Nothobranchius furzeri: one gene and its partner. The protein of the gene in region 2 binds, or shares a complex with, the protein of the main gene of each other region. Links are inferred from orthologs where the notes say so. Each region holds a gene or a part of one and is shown on either strand. Other genes may lie near its edges.

Region 1 (4,918 bases), on a different chromosome or scaffold from region 2:
CCTGAGCAGATCTTGTACCGATACCGGTTAGATTTGTGTCCGACTTGACGCCTACTTGCTCTGATATCATGCATACGTAGGCAACGATAACCTTGTTAGATCAAGGCGGCGCGCAGATTTTGGAGCAAGGCGCTGCAGTTGCTCTCCCTCGGCTGCAAAACCTAGTGGATGACGAGAAACGCCTGGCTCTCACCCGATCTAAGATCTGATTGGTTCATATTTTGATCCAAACATCTGGTGGTAGAACATGAAATGTTAGTAGGTCACATGTATTCTGTAAATCATGTTATGTTGATGATGACAACTATATAGGCCTTAAAGAGAAATGTGATTTGTGTTCTTTTTGTCACGTTTCCTATGAGCACACTAAACCTACAGCTGATAACCTTTACTTATTATCAGTGTTGGGAGTAACGCCGTTTAAGTATAACGGCGTTTTTAACGGCGTTCTTTTATAGGTAACGGAATAATCTAATTAATTACTTTTCCTGCCGTTGCAACGCCGTTACCGTTACTGGGGACGGAAGGTAGTGAGTTACCATGTGCTTGTCGAACGTTGAGCAGCAGCGTGAGGCTTTCTGACCGCCACACTTCAGCTGCAGCCTGGGAGAGAGAGGTGTCGGTAACGCACTTACAAACACGGTGATGACTGGCCGGGTGGGCGGAGACCCTCACTGTCTCAGTCGCTGCATTCTGTAGACACAACGGGAATAACTCCGTTTAAAATAACCACGTTAATAAAAATATTTCTTTCTGTAACGAGCAAACTAATTAATTACCGTCTTCTTTTATCAAAACATCGTTTCTGTTACTGATAAGAAAATGCGTGCGTGAAGCAGCGCGGTGTGTTGAAGCTGTTATCATCAGCTGATCAGGAGCTAAAGAGGTAGATGTTTTCATCCAAGTGCGTCACGGCCCGTGAAGAACGAGGAACACGTGATGAATATCTACGGCTGCAGGTGCGGGTCTGCAGCCGTGCCCTTCTTAGCGTGACAGCGGGACGTCCCGAAGGTCCGCTCAGACGTCCTGATCTTCTACCTTCCTAGATCATCCAGCTGTAACCTGTTTCTGATCATGTCTTTAGTCCCGCTGTAACACTGATGCATCAGTCTCAGACGTCATGGAGCTCAGGTGTTATCAGAACTGTGTGTGTTCACCACCCAGCTTCAGCTCTTCTGTGGTTGGGTCTGACCCAAGTTAGTAAATGTAAGTCCTCCATCAGATCTGTGCCTCTTCTAGTGTCATTTTAAAGGATATTTATTTATTTATTTAACCGTTACTAGATTAGCAGCAACAGAAATGCTGCTAAAAACACACAATTATGTGAAGCTGGAAAAATTAGAATACTGTGCAAAATTACATTTATTTCTGTAATTTAACTAGACTGAGAGACCATTTAAAGGCTCGGGAACCTTTACAGGTGTTTCTATTTGCAATTTTAAATTTTAGCTGATTGGGGTCTTGTTAAATATCACACAGTGACCTTTTAATAGTCTAGATTAGTGTAATGTTCCTATTAGTAGTTCCTCCTGTTAAGTGCATATTTGTTTAAATTATTCAGGTTTATATAAAACATTTGGACATACATTTTATTATGTTCAGTCATTAGTCATTTATATTTTACTATTGTAGTAATTCTTGCATTCTTTAATGAAAAAAGTAACTAAGTAGTTACTTTTGTTGGTAATTAGTTACTTTTATGATCTTGTAACTCAGTTAGTAACTGAGTTACTTTTTTGACAAAGTAATCAGTAACTATAACTAATTACTTTTTTAAAGTAACGTTCCCAACACTGCTTATTATTACAATCATGTCTTCATATACAATACATGATATCCACAAGCACGTGAGGATGTGTTTCAGCTGCTAACAGGCACCAGAATTAAAATTGAAAATTAAACAAGTAACTCTAACGCGATATCTTCAGCCATCCTACACATGCAGGAAATTGTGTCCGACCTAAACGCCGGCTTTCAGCCACTCCCCCTGCTGCTTCCGTCTGCTCTCGTCTGTTTTCCAGGCGAGGCCATCAACTCGAGCACGGCCAATGAAAATCCTTTTTAGTTACGACCGCGAGACAACATTTCCCAAAGTGCAATGCGAAGGAAGCCGGAAATGCGGAAAGACAAGTCAGCTGACTGCCTGGACGCATTGCTCTTCACGTACATCAACATACTATCAAAATACTTCGTGTTTTTTTCTTATTATTATTAAAACCGTTTTTATTCTTTGGTGAGGTCGACAGCGATGTTGCGACCCAAAGCTCTGACGCAGGTCCTCAGCCAAGCGAACACAAACGGAGTCCAGAGCACTCTGTAAGTACGAGTTAGCGACAAGCTAACGAGATGCTAAGATGCTATTTACTCTGACTCTTAGCTGCTTATCGTTTTTTGTACAAGGAAAGCTCGCCCAAAGAAAAATAAGCGTTGTTTTTTGGGAACTCTTAATGCTTAAAAGACATAATTTTAGTTATTTGAATGTAAAACTTGCGCATTTAATGATTTTTATCGTAGCTGTTTTTATAATGTCACAGATTAGAACGCTGTTGCAACAGATCCTAACAAATACCTCGGTTTATAATGATCAATTTCAATGAGATGATTTATAAAATATTTCTAATTTACACATTAGTGTCTAAAATAGTCAACCTTTCTAAATGTTAATTGTATGATGAGGCATTAGCTGCACCATCTAAACATACATCAAGATTATTTCTAACAACACAGATAACTTATGAGTAGGCTGTCTTAGTATGTGTCACGTGTTTATCCTCTCAGCTTGCTGAATAATGAAGGTTCCCTCCTGGCTTACTCTGGTTATGGAGATACCGATGCACGCGTAACAGCTGCCATCGCCAGCAACATCTGGGCAGCTTACGACAAGAATGGCCACCAAGCCTTCAACGAAGACAAGCTTACCTTCATCCTCATGGACTGTATGGTGAGAAACACAGCTCCGATTCAGGCTAAAACATTAGGCTGACCTCAAATTGTAACCTTCTTCTGTGTATTTGTTTTTTTTTAAGGAGGGAAGAGTGGCCATCACTCGTGTAGCCAACCTGCTGCTGTGCATATATGCCAAAGAGACTGTGGGATTCGGGATGCTGAAAGCCAAGGTGAGAGTTCGGGGCCTTTTCTTCTAATTGTTTCCCACGTTTTGCTTTTTATTGGTAAAGATTTTATGTGTTGGAGCTCTTCTGTCAATTGAGTTTAAAGCATTATTTTACAACAGTTGTTTGGATGGCAAAGAAAACTGCTTTTAACTTTGCTTTTAACCCTTTCAACACTTTCTATTGACATATTCTGTTCACATATATTAAACGTAAGTCTTAACTAAAACGTTTTATACTTAAAGGGCTAAAATGTAAGGGCAGATCATTAAATAAACCATTGAATGTGCAAATCATTTGAAACTAATCATTTAAACACAGATTAAACCACTTTTAGTATTTCTGAGGAATGTGCTGAGTGGTTCTAGACTTCTGTTCCACTGTTTAAAACAGGAAGTCCTTTAGAGTGACCCAGGGAGGCACGTGGATGAGGTTCATCAGGTTTGTCCAGCTAGAGCAGCTCATGGAGAACCCAGCTAAATCTGAACTGAGGCTGAAGTTTCTGATCAGTTTAAAGGTCGTACCAGATTTAATCTTTTCCAGTAATTGTGCTTTATTGTGTTTGTAGGCAGAGGCTCTGGTTCAGTATCTGGAGGAACCGTTGACTCAAGTGGCCGCATCGTAGTGAAGATCCGACCAACGCTTCTGTTGGTCTGAACTGAAGAAGAAATCAGCTGTTCAGGTCATCGGTGGACTGCTGTAACCCTCCTGTCCAACACTAAGTGTACAAAGGGCCATGTCTCTAAATGGAGGGGTGTGTGTGTGTGTGTGTGTGTGTGTGTGTGTGTGTGTGTGTGTGTGTGTGTGTGTGTGTGTGTGTGTGTGTGTGTGTGTGTGTGTGTGTGTACAGCTGAAATGTGATTCCATTTTCAGTTTTCACTTGGAATCGGTCCATTCGGTCATAGTTTTGTTGTTCAATGTGAAACTGAACATTTTTAGGAGTCACAGATGTACATCATGATAAAAACGTGTGTGGAGATTTTATATGAATCTTTCTGAAAAATGCAGTTGAGATTGTTATTTACTTGTGTTTTATGTCAAGGTTGTTTGATAAATGAGAGATACTGGCTCAGAGTCACCCATTCTTTTAAATCCTGCTTTGAGCTGGTGACGGTTGGGTGTGTTTCACCCTCGTATACACCTCTGAACGTTTTTAAACAATTTTAAATATGCAGTATCAGGTGAGATAAACTTAAATTTGCTCTGAAAATCTTGTGAAAGGGAGAATTTGCGGGTTTAGAGAAGCTTACCTTGCTTGTCTTTGAGTTTCATCACCAGATAATTTTATTTCTTTCAGTAATCACAGATTTCACAAAAATCTGATGAAACTTTTCACTCTTTCAGTATCCAATACTTTAAAAACAAAACCTTTTTTAATAAGTCAGAAGATCTGGGTAACTTAAAAGCTAAGAAAACTCACGAGTGCATGTGCATTCTGTTTAACTCCATTTAATCAACTAATGAGTTTTAATTGATACCAGTTAGTGATTTTCTCTTGAGGCATTAGCATCAAATATACTTTCTCACCTGCAGCCAGATAAAGAAAGTCTCAGCTTTCAAAATAAAAATTTTAATCACCCAAACCTGGAGTTAAATGCCTATACAGTTTTGCAATAATCAAGTTGATTTTAAGTACCCTGAATAAAATAACATTATTACAAAATCTTTAAAAACACTGTTTTAATGCCCCCGGTTCTGTTTCAGGCAGGTTATATTTCACGTTCTGTTTGGCTTTTCTTTGTTCTCTGCAGAAGGAAAAATCCAAGTCAGCTAAATAAAAAGAAATGGAGAGAAAAGGTTGGGCAGCA
Region 2 (5,359 bases):
CTCAATCTGAGATGACTCGATTATGATTTTAGACTCTTGCTCGGCTCTGACCTGCCAGAACCAACTTTGGGCTCATGTTTCTCACAAATAACAACAGTTTAGGAAAACTTTAGTTTATGAATCTTAATCTGTAGAGTAGGGGAGTTCAGAAGGGAAAATGTCATATCTTTTTAATGCTTGCAGTGATGCGTTCATGAACCTGAAACAAAAAAGAAAAACAAACAAAGCAGACTTTTAAGTTTCAGTTTGGCCAGTCCTCCACAAGCCAGATATGTTTAAAGATCTGCCGATTCCAATCACCACGCGCCAATTTTTCAGTTTCTTCTTTAAAGTCGTTAGCTCAGATTTTTGTGTGTTTATTGCTTTGCTTATAGTTTCTTATGCATGTATCCTGAACATAATGTATAAACTACTGTATAAAACGATTGTATAAATAGTTGTTTCTAAATAAACGCAGATTAATTTGACAGCTTTTGAAACTATCACTCATTAATGTGCTGTTTTTTGCCCTTAAAGAATTTAAAATATTGTAAATCAAACACTGACAACAAAAACAACTTAAAGTTATTTAAAATTTAAACTGTTGAAACACAAAGTTAAATGCAAAGCTGTAAATGTGCTTGCATTTAAATTGATGCATTATTTGAAAAATAGGAAAACCAAAATTTTTGATGAGTTGTGCTGTCATCTGAAAACATTGACTGAAATAAACTGGAACTGGTTTGTTACACTGTTTTTATTATGCACTCAGTCAAAGGCATCTGAGACCCTTTCATCTTTCTCAGAGAAGCTGCCACTTGTTCACCAACATGCCTCATCCTGTTTCTGTCTCTTGTTCATCCTGCACAGCAAGCTTGGGAAAAGTTTTGATCAAACACTTGATGTTTTTAGATTGACAAAAAGGAAAGAGGCAATCTCATTATCTTACACAATAATCAGTTATTTAACATGGATACCCTTCTCTAAAACAACATTTTAAAGCTAAAAAACAGTTATTCTTGAACTTTAGTGGCACATTTCCCATCTGAAACAGCTGCTGGCATGAGAGAAAAAGGAGATGCAACAACTCCCATGAAGGTTGTAAATGTTAAAACTGCATCCACATAAAAGGAAGGAGCAAAGGTTCCCAGTAGAACAGTACCTGTGCTGACTTGCTTTATTTTCTAACTCTGTCCAACTTACACAAACCAATGTCCTATAAAAAAAAATCAGATTCCCATTTGCCCTTGGTCTGGGTTTGAGTCTCTGCCTATAGATGCCTGCATGGATAATCTGGTTTAACAAAAGGATGGATGAACATTTTGTGGACCGTTGAGACAAAAGTGAAACGTTTTGTAAGATTTGTGACTCATCTTGTGGGAAACTAACAGTGAGTTTCAGAAAAAGATCATCATACAAACGGTACCTGGCCCATGGAGAATGTCTGAACTTTTAATTTAAACATGCCAAAAACATTTAAAATGAATTGTAGACTTAAACTTCTCCACACCAATGTGAGAGACTTATGTGCAGTTATTGGAAATGCTTGCATGCTCTTGATGTCTCACAAAGTTTTACAACTATAATTTTAGGGAGTAATTTTTCCCCTGGACTGATTTGGATATAGACTTTTTCCCATCATTTGAAAACAGACTTTTATTTACTTGGGTTATTTTCTCCCCGTATTTATTTATTTTTTGCTAACATGAAACATTTAACTGTGGCAAAAACGCAAAATGCTGTATTCTGCTTGTATTTCATTTGTTCTCTTATTTTGTAAATGAACTTTGTTCAATAAAGTTATTGAAAAAAGCAAATCCTGTTTTGGGAGCCCCTATGACTGGAACATTTATGCTTTTTTTAATTATCAGTCACCATTTTTAGTTCTGCCGAGGTTTCTGATAAGAACGTTCAACATTTCTGCCCTCACGTGTCCTGGGACGTCGCTGCTTCTCAAATACCGGAAGTAGTTGTTGTGTTGTTGTTGCACCACAGCTGCTGTCATGTGATAGCCTCACTCAGAAGCTGCTGTGGACAGTAGATTCCTACTTTTGTATGGGGCCGTAGTAACAACAGTAAGAAACAAACAAAGCTTTATGTTTGCAGGGGAAGAAGAGCTCTGCTCGTTTCTGAAGGAGCGCAGGGAAGCCGGGGTAGTTTAGTTTCAGCCTTGGACGTTGCCATGGGTTGCTGTTACAGTGGCGAGGACGACAACTCCAGGGAGGTAGGTAGCTAGCTAGCTGGCGGCTAAAGCTAAAACAGTTAACTTCATTCGTTTATTCAAACACTAAATAAGTTCTGCTGGCTAGGTGTCTTGACAGTGTTTAGTGAATGAGCCATTTCATGTTCACACATAACTCGTTTGTTGTCCGTAACATTAAACAGGAAGCGTCAGCTTGCTAAGGCCTGGGCTAAAGGCAGCCCTTTGAGTTAGCGCAGGTCAGAAACAGTTCAGAATAAACTGTCCTGAGGGCAAAAATCAAGTGTTTAGTAAAGCTGCGAGCACATCATTTTCTGCTATTGTCCTGTTTAGTGGGGCATGAGGATTTATAGCCTCCCAAAGGTCCTGCTAATCAGGAATAGACTGATTTCTTCTCTACTTATTGGCTAAATAATCAATTGTGACCCGTGTGTCAAGGAGCTAAATAACTGAACATCATGTGGATGTGCGTGGTGTCATATGGCTGCTGTAAATATCCCAGTTTTATTTTAGTTTAGGGAAATAAACCAGTTTGTCTTCATCCTTCCTCATAATCAGTTTCTCTTTAAGTAGATTAATACATTTCATCTTAGGGTTAGGGTACAACCTGGGTACAACCAGTCTATTTAACCTATGTTAGTCTGAAAATATACATTTTTCTTTACAGTTTCAGATAAATGTAAATTTTAAGGCAGAATGACTTTGATATATTTAAGATTGTATATAATCAGCTCTCTGTTTCTGAACAAAGGAAAATTAAAGGTCTGGAACACTGAAAAACCTTTTAATGATCATTTCTGATTATAACTGACCACTCTTGAGTTTTTTATTCAGGCAGAACATGAACATAGTCTCCTACACCTATCTCCAGCATTAGCTTCTGATAGAAGACAGACGATGAAACGCTAGGATTAGAAAATCCTGACAGATTTACGTCACACTGTCACTTAACATTCATGGACTCACCCATCATGACTCACAGGGAAGGCTGTTGTTGGTCTATCATCCAGGAAACAACAGTGTGTCTCGGCTAGTAGAAGCTAACCATTACTATTAGCATTAGCAACTCTACCACATGGCAGAACTCTATCAGGCTTGTGTTATCTGAGACAAGGTTTCCAAATATCAGGACGTAAGAGTATAGCTCCTGTCATTTGAAGTTCTCCTCTAATGTGACAATATTCTAGTTCCTGAAACAGGTGCACTGGAGCTTTTTTTCCTCCAGAGTACAACTTGCAAGGCATTCATTCCTATTAGACACCACTGTAAATCTACTTATTAAATGAGTGTCCCCCACCTTTATACATTTCTGTCATTGTTTATAACATGTAATCGTAAAGAAGTTGGACGGACATTTGTATAATGCATGAAAGTTGTTTTAAACAAACTTTGATTAATTCTTCTTCTACATATATTTTGTGTAACGTTTACTCCTTCTCCCCAGAAAACATATCTAATAACTAATCGTTTAATCTCATAGTCTCTTGTTTGTTTTATTAAACGTATAATTTGCTAAAACTACCTGATCACATTATTTCTATTTTATTCCAACTCTGCTCTAGAAGAACAGTGAAACGGAGTCACTAATACCCCATCCGAACCCTGTCAACAAACCTCCAAATGGGACCGACTGGATCACTCCCAGTGTTCCCTCTGCACAGGCAACTGAGCAGGCTATCCTTACATCCATCCTCACGAAGGCCGCACAGTAAGACGCTTCCACTGATGAGTCTAAACACAACATATTTACCATCCAAAGAAACTTTATCAATGACTTTTAGATCATGTGAAATAACATTTGTGTAATTGAACTAGAAGGTATTAGTCATGCACCTCCAGGTTACTAGTGCAGCACTACACGGATGTTGGGACTATAACCGATGATGTGTGACTGCATCGTACTACAGCATCCGTTAAGAGTGTTGGAATAGAGAATAATCATAATATAACTAACGTTGTTTTTCTTGTCTTCCAGGAATATCATTGATGTCTCTGCAACGGAATCAGTGGTTATGGAGCAGCGTGAATACATGGACAAAGCTAGACAATACAGGCATGTAGACGAGTAGATGTTTGTTATAGACTGATACTTTATTTTTGATGGGAGGTTCTACTTTTATTCTTCTGGAACTAGTTGACCTGAAAGAGTTGTTGATGAGACTGAATCTGAAGTTTATTTGGGCTTTAATTAAAAATGTTTTATTAAAGTCATTCAGGAAATGAACAACGTAAAACTGTCTTTTTGGAGGCCATACAGCTGGGGAAGAAGAAAACTGCTGACATGAAATAAGGAATTTCAACACCAGACCTCAAAATTACAATAAGGCCGGCCTTGCCTCCTCCTTTTTAGTGACCTCTAGTGGGCATCTAATTATATTGCATCTAAAAACGTACTTGTGAATAAACAGCCGTTCAGTTCATGGAAAACATTTGTTTTTGAGTCATTTTAACTCAAATTAATTGCAAGTTTGTTTTTGATTGGGTTTTTTTATAGTTCAAAGTTGGCTGTGTTGAGCACCAACCTGCCCCCAAAGAAAGCAGACACTCTTCCCTCTCTAACTAGCCAGCCCCACCAAGTTCTTGCAAGTGACCTGGTGCCATATTCAGATGTTCAGCAGGTAAATCACACACAGATCACATTCTTAACATGATGAAATCTTTAGCACACCAACAGTAACTGTTCTTTCTCCTTCGCAGGTGTCTAAGATAGCGGCTTATGCTTACAGTGCAATCTCTCAAATCAAAGTGGATGCTAAAGAGGAACTGGTGGTCCAGTTTGCCATTCCCTGATTCTGAGACTCTGAACCTGCATATCGTTGCTCCCATCCTTCTCTCTCTCCCTTCTGTCACTCACTCACTCTGTCAGTCACTCCAGCGTCATCATCCTTCAGCCCACGTTTTATTAAAAGCTATTGATCCTTGTTAGATGTGACTCTTAAAGACTGACTGTGCATAATTTCACTCTGTACTTAAGTGAAATTATTAAAGGACACTGGTGCTTGTCAGTCATCATTTGAGAAACCGAGGATGGACATGGTTGTATTCTTCATCAAGAACACCACTGTGTGTGAATCATGGCTCAGTTAAGCTAGGCGTGGGAAAAATTGAAAAGATTTATTCCTCTTTGATTTTTTAATAAATAGGATTTTCACGGCCTTTCTGTTCAACCTCAAGGTTTAA

What was found.
Region 1: lamtor1 (region 2) and lamtor2 share a complex: the UniProt entries of both Homo sapiens proteins name them as parts of the ragulator complex. The link is inferred for Nothobranchius furzeri from reciprocal best matches to the Homo sapiens genes LAMTOR1 and LAMTOR2.

The regions. Positions count from the first base shown.
Region 1 is NC_091745.1:61,225,178-61,230,095, reverse strand, and holds lamtor2 (ragulator complex protein LAMTOR2), read left to right. Parts: upstream 1-2,031; 5' UTR 2,032-2,248; coding exon 2,249-2,316; intron 2,317-2,778; coding exon 2,779-2,941; intron 2,942-3,026; coding exon 3,027-3,116; intron 3,117-3,678; coding exon 3,679-3,735; 3' UTR 3,736-4,177; downstream 4,178-4,918. UniProt on the Homo sapiens protein: As part of the Ragulator complex it is involved in amino acid sensing and activation of mTORC1, a signaling complex promoting cell growth in response to growth factors, energy levels, and amino acids.
Region 2 is NC_091753.1:34,139,277-34,144,635, forward strand, and holds lamtor1 (ragulator complex protein LAMTOR1), read left to right. Parts: upstream 1-1,984; 5' UTR 1,985-2,161; coding exon 2,162-2,203; intron 2,204-3,741; coding exon 3,742-3,887; intron 3,888-4,154; coding exon 4,155-4,232; intron 4,233-4,673; coding exon 4,674-4,797; intron 4,798-4,876; coding exon 4,877-4,969; 3' UTR 4,970-5,334; downstream 5,335-5,359. UniProt on the Homo sapiens protein: Key component of the Ragulator complex, a multiprotein complex involved in amino acid sensing and activation of mTORC1, a signaling complex promoting cell growth in response to growth factors, energy levels, and amino acids.